3 linked regions of the Stegostoma tigrinum genome follow. Each later gene encodes a partner of the first gene's protein in a complex. Links are inferred from orthologs where the notes say so. Each region holds a gene or a part of one and is shown in the gene's direction. Other genes may lie near its edges.

Evidence for each region. The genes of interacting proteins can lie anywhere in the genome.
Region 2: med23 (region 1) and med7 share a complex: the UniProt entries of both Homo sapiens proteins name them as parts of the mediator complex. The link is inferred for Stegostoma tigrinum from reciprocal best matches to the Homo sapiens genes MED23 and MED7.
Region 3: med23 (region 1) and med16 share a complex: the UniProt entries of both Homo sapiens proteins name them as parts of the mediator complex. The link is inferred for Stegostoma tigrinum from reciprocal best matches to the Homo sapiens genes MED23 and MED16.

What each region holds. Positions count from the first base shown.
Region 1 is NC_081357.1:71,147,717-71,154,845, reverse strand, and holds the start of med23 (mediator of RNA polymerase II transcription subunit 23), read left to right. Parts: upstream 1-4,107; 5' UTR 4,108-4,349; coding exon 4,350-4,496; intron 4,497-7,129. UniProt on the Homo sapiens protein: Required for transcriptional activation subsequent to the assembly of the pre-initiation complex. Component of the Mediator complex, a coactivator involved in the regulated transcription of nearly all RNA polymerase II-dependent genes.
Region 2 is NC_081366.1:12,401,046-12,408,456, forward strand, and holds the start of med7 (mediator of RNA polymerase II transcription subunit 7), read left to right. Parts: upstream 1-4,411; 5' UTR 4,412-4,542; coding exon 4,543-4,744; intron 4,745-7,052; coding exon 7,053-7,411. UniProt on the Homo sapiens protein: Component of the Mediator complex, a coactivator involved in the regulated transcription of nearly all RNA polymerase II-dependent genes.
Region 3 is NC_081383.1:28,124,231-28,131,418, reverse strand, and holds the start of med16 (mediator of RNA polymerase II transcription subunit 16), read left to right. Parts: upstream 1-4,188; 5' UTR 4,189-4,481; coding exon 4,482-4,623; intron 4,624-6,226; coding exon 6,227-6,334; intron 6,335-6,947; coding exon 6,948-7,117; intron 7,118-7,188. UniProt on the Homo sapiens protein: Component of the Mediator complex, a coactivator involved in the regulated transcription of nearly all RNA polymerase II-dependent genes.

The sequences.
Region 1 (7,129 bases):
AGGCAATGGGAACTCAGGGTCATTTTTTACAGACAAAATATATTGTCTCCCCAAACTAGAGGAGACTGCATTGTAAGCAGAAAGTACATTGTACTAGACTGAGTGAAGTGCAAGTAAAGCACTTACCTGGAAGGTGTGTCTGGGATCTTGGACGCTGAGGAAGGAGTAAGTAAATGGGTAGGTGTTACACCTTCTGAGATTGCATGGGAAGATGCCATGATGGTGTTGGGAGTGGACCAAGGTGTCCAGACGGAATGGTTGCTGTGGAACACAGGACAAGGGAGGGGAGGGTAATATGCATCTACTGATGGAATCTCACTGGAGCTGGCTGAAATGACAGCTAATGATCCATTAGATGTGGATGCTGGTGGAGTGGTAAGTGAGGACAAGGAGTCAAATTGTAGGAGATGGGTCAGACATGACTAAGGGCATTATCCACACGGTGATGGGGAATTCTCAGTTGAGGAAAAAGGTGGCTATTTTGCTGGACCCCTTGTTGGCATTATCGGAACACTTGCAACAGAGACAGGGAAACCAGGAGAATGGAATGGAGTCATTACTGGAAGCAGGGTGTGAGGATATATAGTCAGGTGACTATAGAAGTTGGCAGGTTTGTACTGGATACTGGTGGTCAGCCATTCCTCAGAAATAGAAACAGAGATATCACGGAAGTGAAGGGAGGAGTCAGAGATGGAACAGGTGAAGGCGAGGGTGAGGTAGAAATTTTCCAATTCCAGATGACAGAAAGGAAAGCAATACTGATGGTGTTATTGAAGTACCAGAGAAAGAGTTTCAGTAGGGCTGGAGTCAGACTGGAACAACTAATGTTCCACACATTCCACAGAGACAGGCATAACTGGGGCCCATTCAGGTACCCACAGCCACACCTTTGGCCTGAATAAAGTGAGAGGAGTTAAAGGAGAAATTATTCAAAATGAGGACAAGCTTGGCCAGGCAGAGGACGAGGATGGTGATAGATGGGAACAGTTCAGGCCTTTTTTCTAAGAAGAAGCCCTGAGCTCAGCCTGAGTGATGGACATGTAAAGGACTTGCACATCCATAATGGAGGCGGCTGACGCCCGCAAACTAGAAATTCTGAAACTGATGTAAAGCTTCAGAAGATTCACAGATCTAAGTGGGAAAAGACTCGACAAGGGGAGAAAGAAATCAAGTTGAGGTAGAAAGAGATGAATTCTGTGGGGCAGAAACAGTGGGTCTGCTCAGACAGTCTTGTTTGTGGATTTTGGGAAGGAGGTAGAAGCAAGCTGTGCGGAGTTGGAATTGGATTGGGGGGAGATCTCCAGATGAAATTAGATTAGTGACCATTGTGGCCACAATGGCCTGGTGTTTCATGGTGGTCTTATGATATGGGGGAGATGGAAGGAGGTGTCTGATAGCTGGTGCTCAGCCTCCACAATGTAGAGGTCAGCATATCAGACAACAGCACCACTCTTGTCAGCAGGTTGGATTGTTTCATTGCAAAGTCAGGGTTGGATTGACAGCACGGTCTGCAGTCAGTTCAGAGGGAGATAGTTTGACTGGGTAAGGGGGAGGGGTAGAGAAATTGAGGCCTTTTCCTGGTTACAATCAGTTCTACAAAGGGTCACTGGATCTGAAACATTATGCCTGCTTTGTCTCCATGGATGTTGCCTGACCTGCTGAGTCTTTCCTGTAATTTCAGTTTTATATTTTCATCATCTGCAGTTCTTTGATTTTTTTTGTTCTGATATATATGCATTTTCACTTGTGGTGTAATTGTAACTTGTAATTTGTTGTATTTAACTCTTACTTGATAACAAGTTGTGTTTTTTTATGAACTGAATTGAGCTGGATATGCTCATGAACCAAATATCAGAGAGTAACTTGCAGACCAATTGCCACGTGAAGTCCATTAGAAGCATGCTAGCGGAGAATTCAGATACATATCTGTGACAAGTCGTAGTCTTGCATCAACTTCTACAGGATTTTTAAGTAAACTGAATCCATGCATATTAATCTGCATGGCTTACTGATAAAGTAAAATATAATAAGGTTTTACCACGAATAATGAACTTTCTTAATCTAACTTCAAATGGTGCATAAAAGTTTTCTGTGGAGGCAGTTAAACCATAATAGTGGTAAATAACAATAGTCAATAATCATAATTTGAGTTTACAGCAACATTTGTGATAAGATTTTACAGAAAATCAACATCACAACAGACTGAACATTGCATATATAGTGTTTCTGTATGGTTTCCTAAGGGAGTCAACACGATTGTGTAAGTTCATCCCTGCTCCTGTCACTTTTTGTATTAGCTCAATGTGCTCTGCCCCACCTTCTATCACCCTGTATTCTCTGTCATCCTACTGTAATTCACTTCCTTCATTTTGTCTTGATACTCGACACTTAATCTTTACCTCACCCACCACCTCAATTAGAAAAGGGTCTGTGCAGAGGGGTTAAAAGTAAAATGCACAGATCACAACTCCAATCTATTGCACATTCATTTGCTGCCTTTTCCATGTCTGCTCACCAATGCTCAATTTGGCCTCCACCAGGGCTACTTGGCTGCTGACCTCATTATAGATTTGATTGAAACATGGATAAAAGTGTTGAATTCCATGATTGAGGTGACAGTGACTGCTGTTGATATCAAGGCAACATATTGACTAAGTATGGTAAGATTGAAGTCAATGGCAATCACATGAAAAACTCACCAGAGGAGAATATTAAACAGAAAAGAAGGTGGCTATGCTTGTTAGAGGCCAATTATTGCAGTCACAGGGCACCGGTGCAAGAGCTCCACAGTTAAGTGTCCGATATTCATATTCATAACGATATTCATCAATTATCTTCAATCTATCATAAAGTTAGAAATAGGGATTTTCACTAATGATTGTGCAAAGTCAGGGTCATTTACAACTCCTCCGCTACTGAAGTAGTCTTAATTCATATTCAGCAAGATCTGGAGAATATTTAGGCTTGAGCTATGAATTGGCAAATAAAAGTCACATCATGCAAGTGCCATGCAGTGAACATCTCCCATTAGAGAGATTTAACCATTCCCATGATATTTAACGGCAATTCCATTCCTGAATCTCTGACTATATACATCCTGGAAGTTACTATTGACCAAAAACAGAGCTAGACCAGCCATATAGTATGGTTGCCAATGCAGGTCAGAGGCTGGAAATTTTGAGGCAAGTAAACCTAACTCCCCAAAACGTGTCCAGTATCGACAAGGCACAGGTAATCTGATACTTTAAGCAACATTTTTATTTGCCGCCTAAGCTCAGTAGAAGCCGTGTGTACCATTTACAAAATGCACTTCACCTAGGCTCCTTTGACAGCATCTCCCAAACCCAGCACTACTAAAACGGAAAATGAGAAGGCTATCACATGCAAATTTCCCCCCATTCTGACTTAAAATATAAGGCTGTTTGTCGATTATTGATGGGTTAAAATCTTAGAACTCTGTTCCAAACAGCATTGTGAGCGTGAGATAGTCGGAGCTGCAGATGCTGGAGAATCTTACATAACAAGGTGTAGAGCTGGATGAACACAGCAGGCCAAGCAGCATCAGAGGAGCAGGAAGGCTGATGTTTTGGGTCTCGGCCCGAAGCGTCAGCCTTCCTGCTCCTCTGATGCTGCTTGGCCTGCTGTGTTCATCCAGCTCTGCACCTTGTTACCTCAGTATTGTGAGCATCCCTACTTCAGGTGGAATGCAACAGTTCAAAAAGGCAGCTCACTACCACGTCCTGCAAGGCAATTAGGAATGGTTAATAAAAGTGGGCCTGTCCAGTGAGGCGCACTTCCAATGAAATTTTTTTAAAAAATTCCCTTGCAAGAACAATGCTGAAATGAGTCGAAACTTCAATTTCCATGCATAAAGAAGGAATATAGCCTGCGGTTTAAGTGCTTTCCTGGGTTCCGACATAGATTCGCACCCAATCTATTTTTGGATCGATTCGAAATGAGGTTTTTGGGGGAAATTTGAGGGTAATTTGGGCACGGGAATGAATTTGTAAAGTTCTGGGTGGTGTCTGAGGTGGAATTCACAATTTGACACAGGGCTTTGCTGTTTCCTCCAGGTGCCGCACGGGGGCAGTGGCCTTGGGCGTTCAGTCTTCAAGCAAACAGGAAAGCCGGGGCCTCACTCACTGTCGCTGCTTTCAACGAGGCACCGGCTGAATGTAAAAGTCTCCGCCAGTTTACAGCGTATGTAGTTGAAATCTGAATGTGTAAGTGAATCGTTTGGAATACTGCTTTTATTTTTCGATTCGAATTCGCACTTGCAAACGGGGAAAGGAAACTTTGAAACGAAGCTGTTTTGAGAAAGTGCGGAGGCCATCGGAGCACGGCGGAGGATGAGAGGAGACGGAACGGCTCATCCCGGAAGCGGAAACTGCTCAAGGCTTCCGTGGATCGAAGGGGAGGCGGCGGCGGTGGCAGGGGGCCGCGAGATGGCGGTTTCCATGGAGACACAGCTCCAAAGCATCTTCGAGGAGGTGGTGGTGAGTGATATTGGGTTAGAGAGATGGGGATAGGGTGGAGAGAGAGAGAGAGATACACCAGGGAGAGGGAGGGAGAGAAGGAAGGAAGGAAGGAGTGAGTGAAGGAGTGCCTGTTATGAGTAAATCACCACAAGCTACCGTTAATTCAGCAACTTATTAGGAAATCTCACAGACAATCAAGTACTGAAACAATACTTTAAACTATTGAGCAAGTATAAGCCTGTGACTAAATTTACTCAGTACCCAATTAATGGTGAAATTTGGCCAGATTTCCAACCAACAGTGTTGTATCTCTGGAGGTTTCCAGGGTTCGGTCCTTCTCTAGTGTTGTTCTTCTTAGTTCTGCTGTTGAGTCGTTCTGGTGTTGGGTTCTTATACAACTTTCTGTCTGTCAAGATCGCAGTATGACATTATTGATATCCTTTAGGTTTGCTCATCCCCAGTATTGATTACACTTCTGGAGATTTCAAGTCTGCTGCTTGCCTTCATATCAAAAAATTAGCTCCATTGTTCCCCGTTGCGTTAAGATCTCTTTGAAACATGGCTTTTTTCCCCCTCTTCAAAACATTACTTCTGCAGGCAGGTCTAAATTGCCCAAATGTGATGAGGCAGCAGATTGTCAAATAATGTTATCTCTTGTCTCCCAGGAAACAGCTTGTTTATGTTGTTCCTGTAGCTCTTTTCTCCCAGGGTGGTTAATTCACATGTCGCTGTAATCCCTTTTTCTAACAGTTTCTCATTCTTCCTTTCATCTCTAGAAACAGTTTTCCTTTCATCTCTAGAAACAGTTTATCTCGAGTTATTGCCGTTTCTTTCAATCCATGTGTACCGATTTAGCTCAGTTAATTTTTCCAGTCCATGTACAGTTATTAAAATTCTGAAACGTATGTTGTCAAAAGAGAAATTGGGTTAGGTTTAGACAGAGAGATAACAGGAAGAGGGAGAAATCTACTTTGGGTTAAAGAGAGCAAGAGAGAAATTGTTAGGGTTAGAGGAGAGAGACAGAGCTAACATTAGTAAGAGTGAGGCACCAGTAGGGGGATGGAGTGGGGAGAGAGTGAGACCCACCAGAAAGAGAGCGAGAGAATTTATTGCCCATTCCTAGTTGCCCTTGAGAATGTGCTGGTGAGCTTGTACCTACTTCGGGTTGACCCGCAATGCCATTAGGGAGGGAATTCCAGAATTTTGACCCAGCGACAGTGGAGGAATGGTGATATATTTCCAAGTCAGAGTGGTGAGTGGCGTGGAGGGGCAGTTGCAGGTTGTAGTGTTCACATGTATTGGCAATCCTCAACCTTCTAGGTAGAAGTGGTATGTTTGGAAGTTGTTTTAAGACCGTGGGAAAAGAAACAGAATTAGGCCATTCGCCCAACAAGCCTGCTCAGCCTTTCAACCCGACCGTCTTTGGTCAATTTATGCTGTGCATTTTGTAGATCAAACATATATCTGCTACTGAGCATTGTTGGTTTTGGGAGTGGATGCTTGTGAATGTGATGCCAATCAAGTGGACTGCTTTGTCCTGAATGATGTTGATCTTCTTAAGTGTCATTGGAATCGCACCTATCTAGGCAAGTTGGAGAGTATTCCATCACATTCTTGATTTCTGGTCAATGGTAACACCAAGGATGGTGTCAGTGGGGGATTTAGTGGCGTTAACACTGAATGTCAAGGAGCCTTGGTTAGACTGTTTATTTTTGGTGATGGCCATAACCTGGCATTGTATGGCATGAATGATACTAGCCATTTGCCACTTGTCAGCCCATAACTGAATAAAGTCCAGATCTTGTTGCATTTGAACATGGACTGCATCATTATCTCAGGAGCCATAAATGATGTTGAACATTTCAGTTGTCAGTGAACATCCCCACTTCTGACCTTATGATAGAGGGAAGGTCATTGATGAACTAGTTGAAGATGATTGGGCCTCGAACAGTACCCTGAGGGAATCCTGCAGAGTTGTTCTGGGATCTCCAACAATCACAATCATCTTCCTATGTGTCAGGTATGACTCCAACCAGCAGAGAGTTTGCCCTGATACCCCTTGATTCCAGTTTTGCTAGTGCTCCTTCTTGCCACACTCAGTCGAATACTGCTTTGATGTCAAGAGTTGTCACTCTCACCTCAGCCCTGGAATTCACCTGTTTTGTCCATGTTTAAACCAAGGCTGTAATGAAGTCAAGAGCTGATTGACCCTGGTGGAACCCAAACTGGGGATCAGCTGGTTTACTGCTGAGCAGGTGCTGCTTGATAACACTGACGTCACCTTCCATCACTTTCTTGATGATTGACAGCAGACTGATGGGGGTGATAATTTGCCAGGTTTGAGTTGTCCTGCTTTTTAGGCACAGGATATACCTGGGGAATTTTCCATGTTATCGGATAAATGCCAGCGTTGTAACTGTACTGGAAGAGTTGGCAAGGGGAGCTGCAAGTTTAGGAGCTCAGGTGTACAGTACTATTGCTGAATGTTTTCAGGGCTATAGCCTTTGCAGAATCCGGTGCCTCCAACTGTTTCCTGATATGACATGGTGTGAATTGAATTAACTGAAAGCATGGAATGTGTAATGCTGGGGACCACTGGAGGAGGCTGAGATGGATCATCCACTCGGCACTTCAGGCTGAAGATTGCTGTG
Region 2 (7,411 bases), on another chromosome or scaffold:
GTCCTGAGGATAGCTAGACAGAATTTTAATTATTAAAGGAATCAGAGGTTGTGGGGAAATGGCAGGGAAGTGGAGTTGAGGGTTATCAGATTTGACATGATGTCATTGAATGACAGAGCAGACTCATTGGGCTGTGTAGCCTACATCTGCTCCTTTTTCTCATTCATTCATGGAATATGGCCACCACTGACTATAGCCAGCATTTATTGGCCATCCCTAATTGCCAGAGGGCAGTTAAGAGTCATCCACATTGCTGTGAAATGCTGCTTCACCTAGAAAGACTGCTTAGGCCTTTGGATGGTGAGCAGGGAGGAAGTGAAGGGTGAGGTGTTGCACCTTCTGCAGTTACAAGGAAGGCGCTGTGAGAACATTGGAGGCACTAGGGGGGAGATCTCCTGAGGTAATGAGATCAGTGACAGTCCTAGCAATGATGGGTTGATGTTCGTATGTGGGGTCATGGTCCAGGGGCAGGTGGGAGGAAGTGTCAGAGAGATGGCATTGAGCCTCTGCAAGATAAAGGTCAGCGCTCCAGACGACAATAGCAACACCTTTGTCAACTGGTTTGGAAACAAAGTTAGGGTTGGACCCTGAGAGAGCAAAGTGCAGCATTTTCAGAAGGGGGCAGGACATTGATGGGGATCTGGAGTCATATGTAGGCCAGACCATTTAAGGATGGCAGATTTCCTTCCATAAAGGACGTTAGTGAGCTAGATAGGGTTTTCCCTGACAATGGTTTCATGGTCATTAGAATCTTAATACAGATTTTTTAAAATACTGAAATCGAATTCCACCATCTGCCATTGTGATGTCCTTTCCCCCACGACATTTCCTGGGTATCCAGATTAATAGTCTAGTGATAATACCAATAGGCTATCATCTCCCAGTCATGTGGTCTTACGGTTTTGACCCTTCTGCCAATAGAAATAGTTTCATGCTATCTGGGATAACAAGATGTAGAGCTGGATGAACACAGCAGGCCAAGCAGCATCTTAGGAGCAGGAAAGCTGACATTTCAGTCTGACATTTTGTGATTTTTAACACCTCATTCAAATTTCATTTAACATTCTCTGTACTGAGAAGAACTGCTCCAATCTCCACACTTCACCAATGTATCAATGTAACTGATAAATGTCCCTTGTATTCAAGCTTGAGATTCACAGCCTCAGCTTCCTAATGTCGATGTTTGGTCTTCTCAGGAAGAGGGAGACATGGGTCTACCAGGCTTGTAATTCTCTGACAGGGTGGCGAAAAGCTAAAGGCTTCAGATCTTTGGTGCTGAAGCACAAACACACACATTACAACACTGGCTCTATTCTTCAGACCTACTTCAATGTCCACCAAGAAGTTTGAAATAGACTGAGGACATAACTGAGGGGAAGAGCACTGACACATGGCCCAACACTGCCACCCAGCACAGCCAAGGGATTGCATAGTGACATCGCCCTCCACTGGGACCAACGGCATTAACTTTTAACATTATTTCGTAATCACTGATTTATACTGACCTGAGCTGTAATGTTGAACTTTTAACTTATTTCTTCATTCTTTTCCTCTTTATCTAAGATTTCGTACTTAGGTTCCTTGTGTCTTAGATGGCGCCATTGAAAACTTTTCACTGTACTTCTACATCCCTGTACATGTGACAATAAAAATCTAATTCTAATTCTAATTCTAAAATGCTGGCTGTTTCCAAATAGCAGACAGTGAATATTATTCAAACTTATGATTTTTGTATTTGATATAGAACAACAAAAGATGGATGTAAAAGATGTGGACATACATAATCATAAATAATATCTAGTGTCTAACTACTATATATTTAAAATGTGCTTTCCACATGCATCTTCTGTCTTATAAATTCTAACTTAACACACGTATTGTTATCAAATTGTAATTCGCCCATTGCCAGTGAAGGCACTGCTGTGCTAAGTTTTCACATCAAGAAAGATCTGCGTTTATATAATAAGGCGTGGAGCTGGAGGGATACAGCAGGCCAGGCAGCATCAGAGGAGTAGGAAAGCTGACGTTTCAGGGTTGGGACCCCCTTCAGAATTTTTTTTTCCGAAGAAGCATCCTGATCCAAAAAAAAAATCAGCTTCCCTGCTCCTCTGATGCTGCCTGGCCCACTGTGTCCCTCCAGCTCTACACCTTGTTATCTCAGACTCCAGCATCGGCAGTTCTTACAATCGCTGCATTTATATAATGCTTCTTTACAGAATATCTCAAAGCTTTGACAACCAACGAAGTGTAGTCTAGGGAGCATGTCAATATTTAGAGAAAGCACAAGTGAAGTGTGTCAGAGTTTACAAGGGTTCCCTGGGGTGGGACAGTGTATTTGTACTTGGGGGAGGCGATCGCCTCGTGGTATTATAGCTGGACTGTTAATCCAGAGACTCAGATAATAATCTGGAGACCCAGGTTCAAGTCCTGCCACAGCAGATGGTGGAAATTGAATAAATATTTGGAATTAAGAGTCTAATGATGACCACAAATCTATTGTCAAAGGTTGGAGGAAAAACCCATCTGGTTCACTAATGTTAATAAAAATTCCAAAGAGTTGCAGATGTTATAAATCAGGAACAAAAATAAAGTTGCTGGAAAAACTCAGCAGGTCTGGCAGCATCTGTGGAGGAGAAAACAGAGTCAACATTTCAGGTCTGGTGACCCTTCCTCAGAACTAGGCACGAATAGAGATTGGAACTGAAATCCCATCGGAGAAAGTAGAGCCTCTTCAAGGTGGGCATGCCTGGAAGAGATGTGGCAGTGAGTTAAACACTAAATAAAAACCAAAAGAACTGCAAATGCTGTAAATCAGGAGCTAAAGCAAAGTTACTTCCTCAGTTCTGAGGGAGGCTCACCTCCCTGAGGTTAACTCTGTTTTCTCCTCCACAGATGCTGCCAGACCTGCTGAGCTTTTCCAGCAACTTTGTTTTTGGTTCACTAATGTTCTTCAGGGAAGAAAGCTGATCTGGCCTACATGTGACTCCAGTCCGACAGAAATGTGGCTGACCCTGGGTAATAAATGCTGCCCAGTCACTGGTGGGAACAGTCAGCTAATTACCAATGTGTGCATGAGGGAGTGTTAATTCCCCCCAGTCTCATTTCCTGTTAATGAAACAAGGATTGAGACATGCGCATGCGCGATTCTGCAACAGTTCCCCGAGTAAGGGCTAATGGGAACTGCAGATGCTGGAGAATTCCAAGATAATAAAATGTGAGGCTGGATGAACACAGCAGGCCAAGCAGCATCTCACGAGCACAAAAGCTAACGTTTCAGGCCTGGACCCTTCATCAGAGAGGGGGATGGGGAGAGGGAACTGGAATAAATAGGGAGAGAGAGGGAGGCGGGCCGAAGACGGAGAGTAAAGAAGATAGGTGGAGAGGAGAGTATAGGTGGGGAGGTAGGGAGGGGATTGGTCAGTCCAGGGAAGACGGACAGGTCAAGGAGGTGGGATGAGGTTAGTAGGTAGATGGGGGTGCGGCTTGGGGTGGGAGGAAGAACCGGTTAGGGAGGCAGAGACAGGTTGGACTGGTATTGGGATGCAGTGGGTGGTGGGGGAAGAGCTGGGCTGGTTGTGTGGTGCAGTGGGGGGTGGGGACGAACTGGGCTGGTTTAGGGATGCAGTGGGGGAAGGGGAGATTTTGAAACTGGTGAAGTCCACATTGATACCATATGGCTGCAGGGTTCCCAGGCGGAATATGAGTTGCTGTTCCTGCAACCTTCGAGTGGCATCATTGTGGCAGTGCAGGAGGCCCATGATGGACATGTCATCTAGAGAATGGGAGGGGGAGTGGAAATGGTTTGCGACTGGGAGGTGCAGTAGTTGGTTGCGAACTGAGCGGAGGTGTTCTGCAAAGCGGTCTCCAAGCCTCCGCTTGGTTTCCCCAATGTAGAGGAAGCCACACCGGGTACAATGGATACAGTATACCACATTGGCAGATGTGCAGGTGAACCTCTGCTTAATGTGGAATCATATTCCGCCTGGGAACCCTGCAGCCTAATGGTATCAATGTGGACTTCACCAGTTTCAAAATCTCCCCTTCCCCTACTGCATCCCTAAACCAGCCCAGTTCGTCCCCTCCCCCCACTGCACCACACAACCAGCCCAGCTCTTCCCCTCCCCCCACTGCATCCCTAAACCAGTCCAACCTGTCTCTGCCTCCCTAACCGGTTCTTCCTCTCACCCATCCCTTCCTCCCACCCCAAGCCGCACCCCCATCTACCTACTAACCTCATCCCACCTCCTTGACCTGTCCGTCTTCCCTGGACTGACCTATCCCCTCCCTACCTCCCCACCTATATTCTCCTCTCCACCTATCTTCTTTACTCTCCATCTTCGGTCCGCCTCCCCCTCTCTCCCTATTTATTCCAGTTCCCTCACCCCATCCCTCTCTCTGATGAAGGGTCAAGGCCCGAAACATCAGCTTTTGTGCTCCTGAGATGCTGCTTGTCCTGCTGTGTTCATCCAGCCTCACATTTCATTATCCCCGAGTAAGGGCGCTGACTCGCTACGTCACTGTGAGTGGCAGCCTATCTACCCAATGGGACGCTGTACCGTGCCGCGATTTGCGGCTGCTTTAACCAATGGGAGCTGGCCTAGCCTGGCCTGGCCACGGCGTTCGGCGGTGGCGGTGAGTACGCGAGGTCGGGGATGTGGCCTGTGCCTCTCCGAGCCCGGCTCTGCGCCGGCGGCTGAGATCTTCCCCACGGTTTTGTACCGCAACATTGGGAACTCCGCAGGCGGTTAGTCCTAGATCATTGGAGAGAGATTCGGCCTCCGCACCTCCCTTTCTAGTTATCCCTGTACCCCCCCGTTGTGTGGGGGTGGGGAGAGAATGTTTCCCGTTCCCCCCTTCCCCCGGTCAGGTGGGGAGTGGGTTACCTAATCACCATGTCTGTGGAGGGTAGGGGCGTGTTATTCCCTCCACTGTATGAATGGGAATGGGGTGGGGTTTAATCCCCCCCCCGCGTCTGTGTGGGGTTTAATTCTCTCCCCCCCCCCCCGTCTGTGTGGGGTTTAATTCTCTCTTCCCCCCCCCCCCCCCGTCTGTGTGGGGTTTAATTCTCTCTCTCCCCCCCCCCCCCCCCGTCTGTGTGGGGTTTAATTCTCTCCCCCCCCCCCCCGTCTGTGTGGGGTTTAATTCTCTCCCCCCCCCCCCCCCCCCCCGTCTGTGTGGGGTTTAATTCTCTCCCCCCCCCCCCCCCCCGTCTGTGTGGGGTTTAATTCTCTCCCCCCCCCCCCCCGTCTGTGTGGGGTTTAATTCTCTCTTCCCCCCCCCGTCTGTGTGGGTTTTAATCCCCCCCCCCCGTCTGTAGTTTAATTCCCCCCCCCCTTGGTCTAGGAGGGGGTTAACCCCCGCTGTCTGGGGGAAAAGTGTTAATACCTCCTGTCTGTGAAAAGGGGTTAATATCTGCTGTCTGTCTGGGGGTTAATCCCCTCCCATCTGGGATGTGGAGGTTAATCCACGCCCCCTTCCCCGGTCTGGGAAGCGGAGTGTACTAGCTATAAGGAGAGGTTGGACAAACTTTGATTGATTTCGTTGGAGCATCAAAAGCTGCAGGCTGACCTGAAATAAAATTATTACAGACACAGATGGGGGTAGTCAGTCTTTTCCCCAGGGTGGAAATGTCAAATACGAGGGGGCATAGGATTAAAATGAGATGGGGAAAGTTAAGGAGATGTGAGAACAGTTTTTACACGTAGGGTGGTAGGTGTCTGGAACACATTGCCAGGGGCGGTGGTAGAAGCAAATATACTAGAAACATTAAAGAGGCAGTTAGACAGACACATGAACAGGCAGGGATTAGAGAGATATGGACCATGTGTGGGCAGATGAGATTAGTTTAGAATTAGAATCCTTACGGTGTAGAAACAGGCCCTTTGGCCCAACAAGTCTACACCACTTCTTGGTGCATCCCAACCAGACCCATGCCCCTTTTACCCACCTAATCTACAGAGCCTTGAATTTTACATGCAATTTAGCTTAGCCAATCCACCTAACCTGCACATCTTTGGACTGTGGGAGGAAACCAGATTACCCGGAGGAGAGTGTGCAGACTCCACACAGACAGTTGTCCAAGGGTGGAATTGAACCTGGGTCCCTGGCACGGTGAGGTAGCAGTGCTAACCATGGAGCCACCATGTAGCCCTAGAATGCTGGTCAGCACAGACATGGTGGGCCAAAGGGACTGTTCTCGTGCTGCTCTATATGTTTTATATAAAGGCTTGGATCACAGAATGGATTTTTATGACAATCTGACAGCTTCATGGTCATATACTGACAGCTGTAATTTATTGCCAATTCATTTTAAATAATTCTTGAGCTGCTTGGTGAGACTTAAACTTTGTATTGTATGCATTATTCTGAGGCTGCTGTGATTTCTACACAGACTCGATGTGATTAAGTTCTGAGGTGGCCTAGTCAGTATCTGCTTGAAACCAATACACAGAATAATAAGCCATTCAGGCGTGCAAGAGGGAAGCAAAACACAAGGGAATTAGTTTATGATCTGGAAATGACGAATGCAGGGTTATGTGGAGAAGGCACAAGATGAATTGCTTATTTGGAGAGCCAGCCAAACAGTGGACTGAAAGACCTCCTCTGCATTGTATTATATCTCTGAACACAAACTGTTCACAGTGCCTGAACTAACCCAGGTGCTTCATAGGAACGTCTGTCAGACAGATTTTGACATTGAGCCAGATGAGGACATAACAGTAAATGAATTTTAATGAATATCTTAAAGGAGGTAACAGAGCTTTTGAGATTTAGGAGAGGGATATTGGTGATCAGGGCCTTGTCAGCCAGAGGCCCAGTTGCCAGTGACAGTTGGAGATAAACAAGAGGCTGAGATTGAAGGGGTTCAGTGGTCTTTTAGGGCTGGTGAAGCTATGTAAATAGGCAGGGCTGATGCCTTGGAGTTTAAAAACAAGGATGAGAATTTTAAAATTAACACAAAACCAGAGGATAGGCTTTGAGTGGCAACTTTGCTGGATTGAAGACTAAAACCAAGGTTTTGAGGTTGTTCCTTTTTTTTTCCCCTTTTGCAGATCCAGTTACATTGAGTGCAATGGGTGAGCCACAGCAGGTGAGTGCGTTGCCTCTGCCTCCAGCACAGTACTATAAGGAGTACACAGACGACAATGTCCGCAAAGGCTTTGCTCCTAAGCCACCACCTCCCATCAGGGACAGCTACACTATGTTTGGCAACCAGTTCCAGTGCGACGACTTGATCATCCGTCCATTGGAGGGCCAGGGCATCGAGAGGCTCCACCCTTCACAGTTCGACCACAAGAAAGAGCTCAAGAAACTCAACATGTCAATCCTGGTGAACTTCTTGGACTTACTGGACATCCTGATCAAAAGCCCCGGGAGCATAAAACGAGAGGAGAAACTGGAGGACCTCAAA
Region 3 (7,188 bases), on another chromosome or scaffold:
AGTGCCATGTAAAAGTGAATACAGAAATAAAAAGCTAAGAAAGATGAATGTGTGGCTGAAAAGGTGATGCAGGAGGGAAGGTTTTAGATTTCTGGAACTGGCTGTGGGGGAGATGGTACCTTTACAGGACAGATGGGTTACATTTGAACAGAGCCAAGATGATCATACAGAACTTCAAAAGGACAGTGACAAGTTGTGGATTGGGTAGATAGGTGGCAGATGAAGTTCAATGTGGAGCAGTGCAAGGTGATACACCTTGGTACAACGAAAAGGAGAGACAATATGAAATAAGGGGTATATTCTAAAGGGTGCGCAGGAACAGACAAAACTCAGTGCATACATACATAGGATGTTAAAGGTGGCAAGACAGCTGGAGCAGCCGAATGATAAAGCATACAGCATTCTTGGCTTAATTAATAGGTTCAGAGAGTACAAGACCAAGGAGGCTATGATTAACATATATAAAACACTGGTTAGACCTCAGCTGGGCACTGTAAACAGTCTGGGCACCAGACTTTATAGGAAGGAATGCGAATGTATTGTAGAAAGGGCAGATGAGGTTTATGAGAAAGATTCCAGGAATGAGAAACATCAGTTATGAGGACTGATTACTGAAGCTGGGGCTATTTATCTTGCCATGGAGGAAGTGGAGGGGAAACTTGACTGAAGCCTTCGAACTCATGACACTGGACAGTATAGATAGGGAGAAACTGTTCTCACTTGTCAGAGGATCAAGATGCAGAAGGCACAGTTGTAAAATGTTTTGTAAAAGGAGCAAATGTGGACAAGAAAAAGGTTGCCCAGCACGTGTACAACCTCATCCACAACACAACTACAAATCTTCTCAAAAACTAAGAACTCATCTTTTCCTATCTTGATTCAGTCTATTCTCCCCGGTCCAGTCCCTGCCCACATATATCCGCAATTCCATTGACGCTTAACACCAATTTCGGAATTTCCAATTTGCAGGTTCCAGCCACTTCCACTTTATCATGGATGTGTAATCCCTTTACACATACAAACCCCGCTAGGATGGTCTCAGGGCAGTCCACTTCTTCCTGAACTGTCCCCACCCAGCACCACTCTCCTCCATTTGACCGAGCTCATCCTCAGCCTGAACAACTTCTCTTTTAACTCCTCTCATTTTTTTCAGGTCAGAGGGATGGCCATGTGTACCTGTCTAGGCCCCAGGTATGCCTGTCTCTTCAGGGGTACATGGAACATTCCTTGTTCCAATCCTATTATGGACCCCACCCACACCTCTTTCTCTGATATATTGAAAATGCCATCAGTGCTGCTTCCCTCTCTTCTTTGGAATTGGAAAAGTTAATTGATATCGATTCCAATTTCCTCCCTGCCCTCATTTTCATTTATCTCTGGTTTATCTCTGGCTTGTCCCTTCCCTTCCTCAACATCTCTGTTTCCATATCTGGGGATAGATTGGCCACTAATATCTACTATAAACCCACTGATTCCCACAGCTACCTGGATTATACACCCTCGCAGTCTGCTTCCTGTAAAGATTCCATTCTCCCAGTTCCTCTGTCTCCTTTGCATATATTCTGGTGAGGCCAGCTTCAACAAGACAGCCACTAAAATGCCCATCTTCTTCCTCAACTGAGGATTCTCCAGTTTTTGACAGGGACCTCAACCAGGTCCGATCCATCTCCTGCATTTCCACCCTCACCCCTTCTCCTCCATCCAGAAAACGATAGTGTTCCCCTTGTCCTAACCTACCATCCCACCAGCATCCACATTCAGAAGATCATCAGCTGCCATTTCCGCCACTTCCAGCGAGATGCCACCACCTGACATATATTCCCCATCCCTCCCTTGTCCGACTTCCGCAGCGACTGTTCCCTCTGTGACTCCCTGGTCACAACACCCAGCAACCCATAGAACACCATGGCACCTGTAACTGCCAAAGGTGTAACACCTGTCCATTTACCTTCTCCCTCCTCAACAACCAAGGGCCCAAACATACCTTCCAGATGAAGCAGCACTTTACCTGCACTTCACACAATCTAGTCCACTGCATTCGTTGCGCACAATGTGGGCTCCTCTACATTGCAGAAACAAAGCGTAGACTGGGTGACATCTGTGCAGAACATCTAAGTTCTGCCTGCAAAAAAGACCCTAAGCTTCCAGTTGCCTGTCACTTTAACACCCTGTTCCCTGTCAACATCTTTGTCTCAGGCTTGCTGTAGTGTTTGAGTGAAGCTCAGCACAAGCTGGAGGAAAAATACCTTATTTTCCACTTGGGTGCATCGCACCCCTCCCGACTCAATACAGTTCAATAATTTTAGGGCCTGAATTCTCCTATGGATTAGACCCCAACCCCACACAACAGGCCTTATTATCATATAACCTGCCATTACATATTTTAACTATTGTTAGTCCCCTTTCATTTCACCATTACCTATTGTTGGTCCCCATTAACTGCTATCCATCCTCCTAACCAGATCATTATCCAGCCCTTCATCTGTCCAATTGTTCTTCTTTCTCTTTGCGCTTTATCCCACCTATCATTTACTCCTTACCCTCTGCTATCTTCTGCATATAAACCAACATTTTCCTAGCTACCATCAATTCTGAGGAAGGGTCAACAAATTTGAAATTTTATCTATGGTTGATCTTCTAAGATGCTGCCAGACCTGCTGAGCTTTTTCAGCAATCTCTATTTTTGTTTCTGATTCATAACGTTTTGCCTAAAAATGCCTGGTAGAGGTAAATTGAAATGAAACATTTGATGGGAAATGTCAAGATTTATTTAAAGAGAAATAATATGCAGGGTTACAGAGAAAAGGCAGAGTTTGGCACCAAGTTGAAATGATCAGAGAGGCTTTTGCAGACAATGGACTGAATGGCCTCTGTTTGCACCACAGCAATTACGATTTAGAAACTATTTAGGTGACATTCATTCTCTTCAAGAATGATCCCCAGGTTACAAAGTCATTTAAACGTATCAAGTCCTGTGTTTAAAAAGTGATACACACGTAACAAATAACTATTTGGCCTATATAAATTTATATATTTTATTAATGTGCCCCAATAGAGAAGCTGTTGTTAGAATAAGGAAAATGCATCTGGAAAGGGGGTAGAAATGCTGAAAATGTAAAATAAAATGTAGAAAAACCGCAGCATGGTAAAATAGAAACAAAAAGATATATGCTTAAATTCTCAGAGATAATAGGAACTGCAGATGCTGGAGAATCCGAGATAACAAGGAGTGTAGCTGGATGAACACAGCAGGCCAAGCAGCATCTTAGGAGCAGGAAAGCTGACGTTTCAGACCTTCTGATGAAGGGTCTAGGCCCAAAATGTCAGCTTTCCTGCTCCTAAGATGCTGCTTGGCCTGCTGTGTTCATCCAGCTCCACGCCTTGTTATCTTATATTCTCATTTCACTTTCAGATAATGGAGTGATTTGTTGTATTCTCCCAGTAATTTAACTAAGGTACCAGTAAATGTATAAACACTTCAATAATTGGAATGGGTCAATGAGGGACTGCACCTTTGATTCTAACATTCTTTTAAAATCAAAACAAAAACAAAATCTGAAGGTTTGCACAAACAGAGATTCTTAAACTAATCGCCTAGGGAAAACATGTAAACATGTTTGTACTTTCTACCATTTATCAATAATTTAAAAACTACAGAAATCCGTTAATTGACAAAACGTTCTCAATTCAAAGTGAAATCTCAAAGAGCCGCATCGCCTAAGTAACGGTTGCAGGAACAGCAACTCATATTCCGCCTGGGAACCCTGCAGCCCAATGGTATCAATGTGGACTTCACCAGTTTCAAAATCTCCCCTTCCCCCACTGCATCCCTAAACCAGCCCAGTTCATCCCCTCCCCCCACTGCACCACACAACCAGCCCAGCTCTTCCCCCCCACCCACTGCATCCCAAAACCAGTCCAACCTGTCTCTGCCTCCCTAACCGGTTCTTCCTCTCACCCATCCCTTCCTCCCACCCCAAGCCGCACCCCCAGCTACCTACTAACCTCATCCCACCTCCTTGACCTGTCCGTCTTCCCTGGACTGACCTATCCCCTCCCTACCTCCCCACCTATACTCTCTCCACCTATCTTCTTTACTCTCCATCTTCGGTCCGCCTCCCCCTCTCTCCCTATTTATTCCAGTTCCCACCCCCCATCCCCCTCTCTGATGAAGGGTCTAGGCCCGAAACGTCAGCTTTTGTGCTCCTGAGATGCTGCTTGGCATGCTGTGTTCATCCAGCCTCACATTTTATTATCACATTTTATTATCTTGGAATCTCCAGCATCTACAGTTCCCATTATCTCTCGCCTAAGTAACGCATGCGCCGTGTCAATAGGCCGATCCAGTGATGGGCGCGCTTGCGCTGAGTGGGACAGGATGAGGCGCGCTTGCGCTGAGTGGGACAGGATGAGGCGCGCCTGCGCGCTGTGTGCTGCTGGTTGGGCGCCTTTGCGCTCTGGACGTTGAGGAAACAGTAAACATGGATATAGCGTATGTATGTGAGTGGGAGAAGCGGCCGAAGAGCAATTATTGTCCGTCTGTACAGTTGGTGTGTGCTTGGTCCTGCAGAAACCTGGTTGCCTTCACAACGGATCTGAAGAACGAGGAAGAGCAAGAACAAGGTCAGGTTTTGGGTCTGGTCTGCCTCATCTTTTCACTGTATTTGTTCAGATGTAATAAAGTTCATTTTGAGTTAAAATTCTTAAGTATCTCCAGTATTCGCTAACGTTTTGACCTAGTTTTTGCAAACTTGAAAGCAGCTTGGTAAACAGCGTGTGACTGTTGTTAGGTGAACAGAAATGTCAGTCCAGTTGCAGAGAATAAGATCTCAACAGTAATTTAAGGTGATCAACTTATGTTTCGGTTATCAATGTAGGGAAAGAAAGCCTTGCCACCTAATCAGAATCTATCATACTGCAGTTATCAATTTTTGCAGCTTGGTCAGGGGTACTTGTGCCTTCAAGCCTCACTTCAAAGAGTAGAGCACAAATACATGCTGAAACATCAGTCACTTTAACAGGGAATAATGTGCCATGAGAGAAGGTACCACCTTTGAATTGTTGGGGTCCTCTGAAATGTATGTTAAAGATGCCAAGGCACAATTTAGGGCAGGGTATGGTGCTTATTTCTGGTGTAGTAATTGTTGTTTATCTCTCCAATCAATGTCTGAAAACAGACTAGTGTTTTCATTTGCATTATTGTTTGTGAGATTTTGCTCCACACAACTTGGCCTTCTGCATTTCCCAAATTACAATAGTGGCTTTATTTCAAGATGTGTTTTAAGATATCCTGACATTATGAAAAGTCCTATATAAATGTAATATTTATTTATTTTTCTTGCACTGCATGCTTTTGACTTGACATTATTGAACAAGTTTGTTTTAATGCAAAGCCCATACCTCTGAGGATTAAGATATTTTGTTCTGTCTGTTGGTAAATATCAAAATGGATAGGTTCAAAGAATTACTGTGGCTACAAAAGCAGCAGATTGTGAGAATTAAATTTGTTTCTGTCAGCAGTAAGAGGAAGAGAGATTGGCTTTAGATTATTTACTAAAATAACATTTCCTGATTTAAACTCCAACCCAATTTTTTTTTTTAAGTGTAACTAGAAATAAATGAAAAGCTTTCAAATATACTGGAGTTGTACCAAATATGACAAATATCCAAGATGCTGTTAGGAAACTGTAACTTCTAAATAGAAGTCAAAACAGAGGACTGGAGTAAGTTAAAAGCATTTGCCGTAACAGTTGAATATTGATGCGACAAGATAGTTGACCCAATGGCTTGTAAACAATTTCCCTATGTTCTGCCTCTGACAGGATTTAAACAATTGCAAAAGATGATAACCAAAATTTTGAACTAGACGTGTGTTGCCAACTTGAACTATTTCAGTGCAGTGCACTTGTTAAAAGGAAAGGAATTTCCAACATACTGGGGTCTTGATAAATACTTTGCAACAATGAGTTCAAGCCCCAAGCTTTACTGTCTTGTGGGAGGTACCAACTTTTGCATTCTTACTGAATGCTGACCGGTCCACCTGAAATTGAGCTTTCTTTCTCTTTACATTTGTTCCTAAACCTGGTATTTTTTTTTTCAGTATGTAGACCCAATCAACTTGCTCTGTGTTTCCAGAATTTTTTGGTATTTTGCTTATTCATGGCTTAATTGAGAATATTTTAGCAATGAGACTGTACAGAGTTTCCTAACAGTATCTTTTTTATAGATCTTACTTATATGATTCACATTTTGGATACTGAACATCCTTGGGATGTTTACTCGATTAACTCAGGTCATCATGAAGTGATTACTTCTCTGGAGTGGGATCAATCTGGTAAGCCTTTTTTAATGAACCTGCAATCTGTCCCAGCACCACAAGATTCAATTGTGAAATGAACAGGCAAGTCTAGATATGTAGGAGCACCACAAATTTGATAAATAAATAACTATGCATAACAAATTATAATCTGATGAAGATCAGTTATTCTTTCTAATTGGTGGTGCCTGATGGTACAGAAAGTTTAGGGCTTAAGATCTGACCTGTTCAATGTTTTTCCCTATTGCCTGTACTCTCATTTAAAGATGTGTTAGGTAGAAAGTTGAGATAATGTTTCTGCTTTACGCTGTATGTATGGAAGCCACAAAATGCAGAGCGTACTGTTGATTTTACCACAAAATGCAGAGAAAAACTCTTTCTCGATATTTCGCAGAGGCATGGTCACCCTGGTCAATGCTTCATAATGAATAGATGACATACACATTTCTTTATGTGGATAGCTGCTACATTGTTGACTGAATTATCTTCTGGCTTCAAATTTAATGTAGTTGGAAAGAAAAATTAGCTCAGGAACTGAATGGTATCATAATTGTTACTAAAATGTATGTTTTTGAATTGAGTTGCCTATTTAAAATGTATATTATTTTGCTTCACTCTGTCTCCTTTGAAGGTTCTCGGTTATTATCTGCTGATGCTGATGGTCGGGTGAAATGCTGGAGTATGACTGATCATCTGGTAAACAGCTGGGATAGCACAGTTGGGAGTTCAGTGGACGGGGACCCCATTGTAGCCTTGTCGTGGCTACACAACGGTGTCAAGTTGGCCTTGCATGTAGAAAAGGTATATGCTACAGTCAAAGTCTTCAGCAATATTTTAACTACCTGTCAAAATCCAGTATCTTGTCTGAAAAA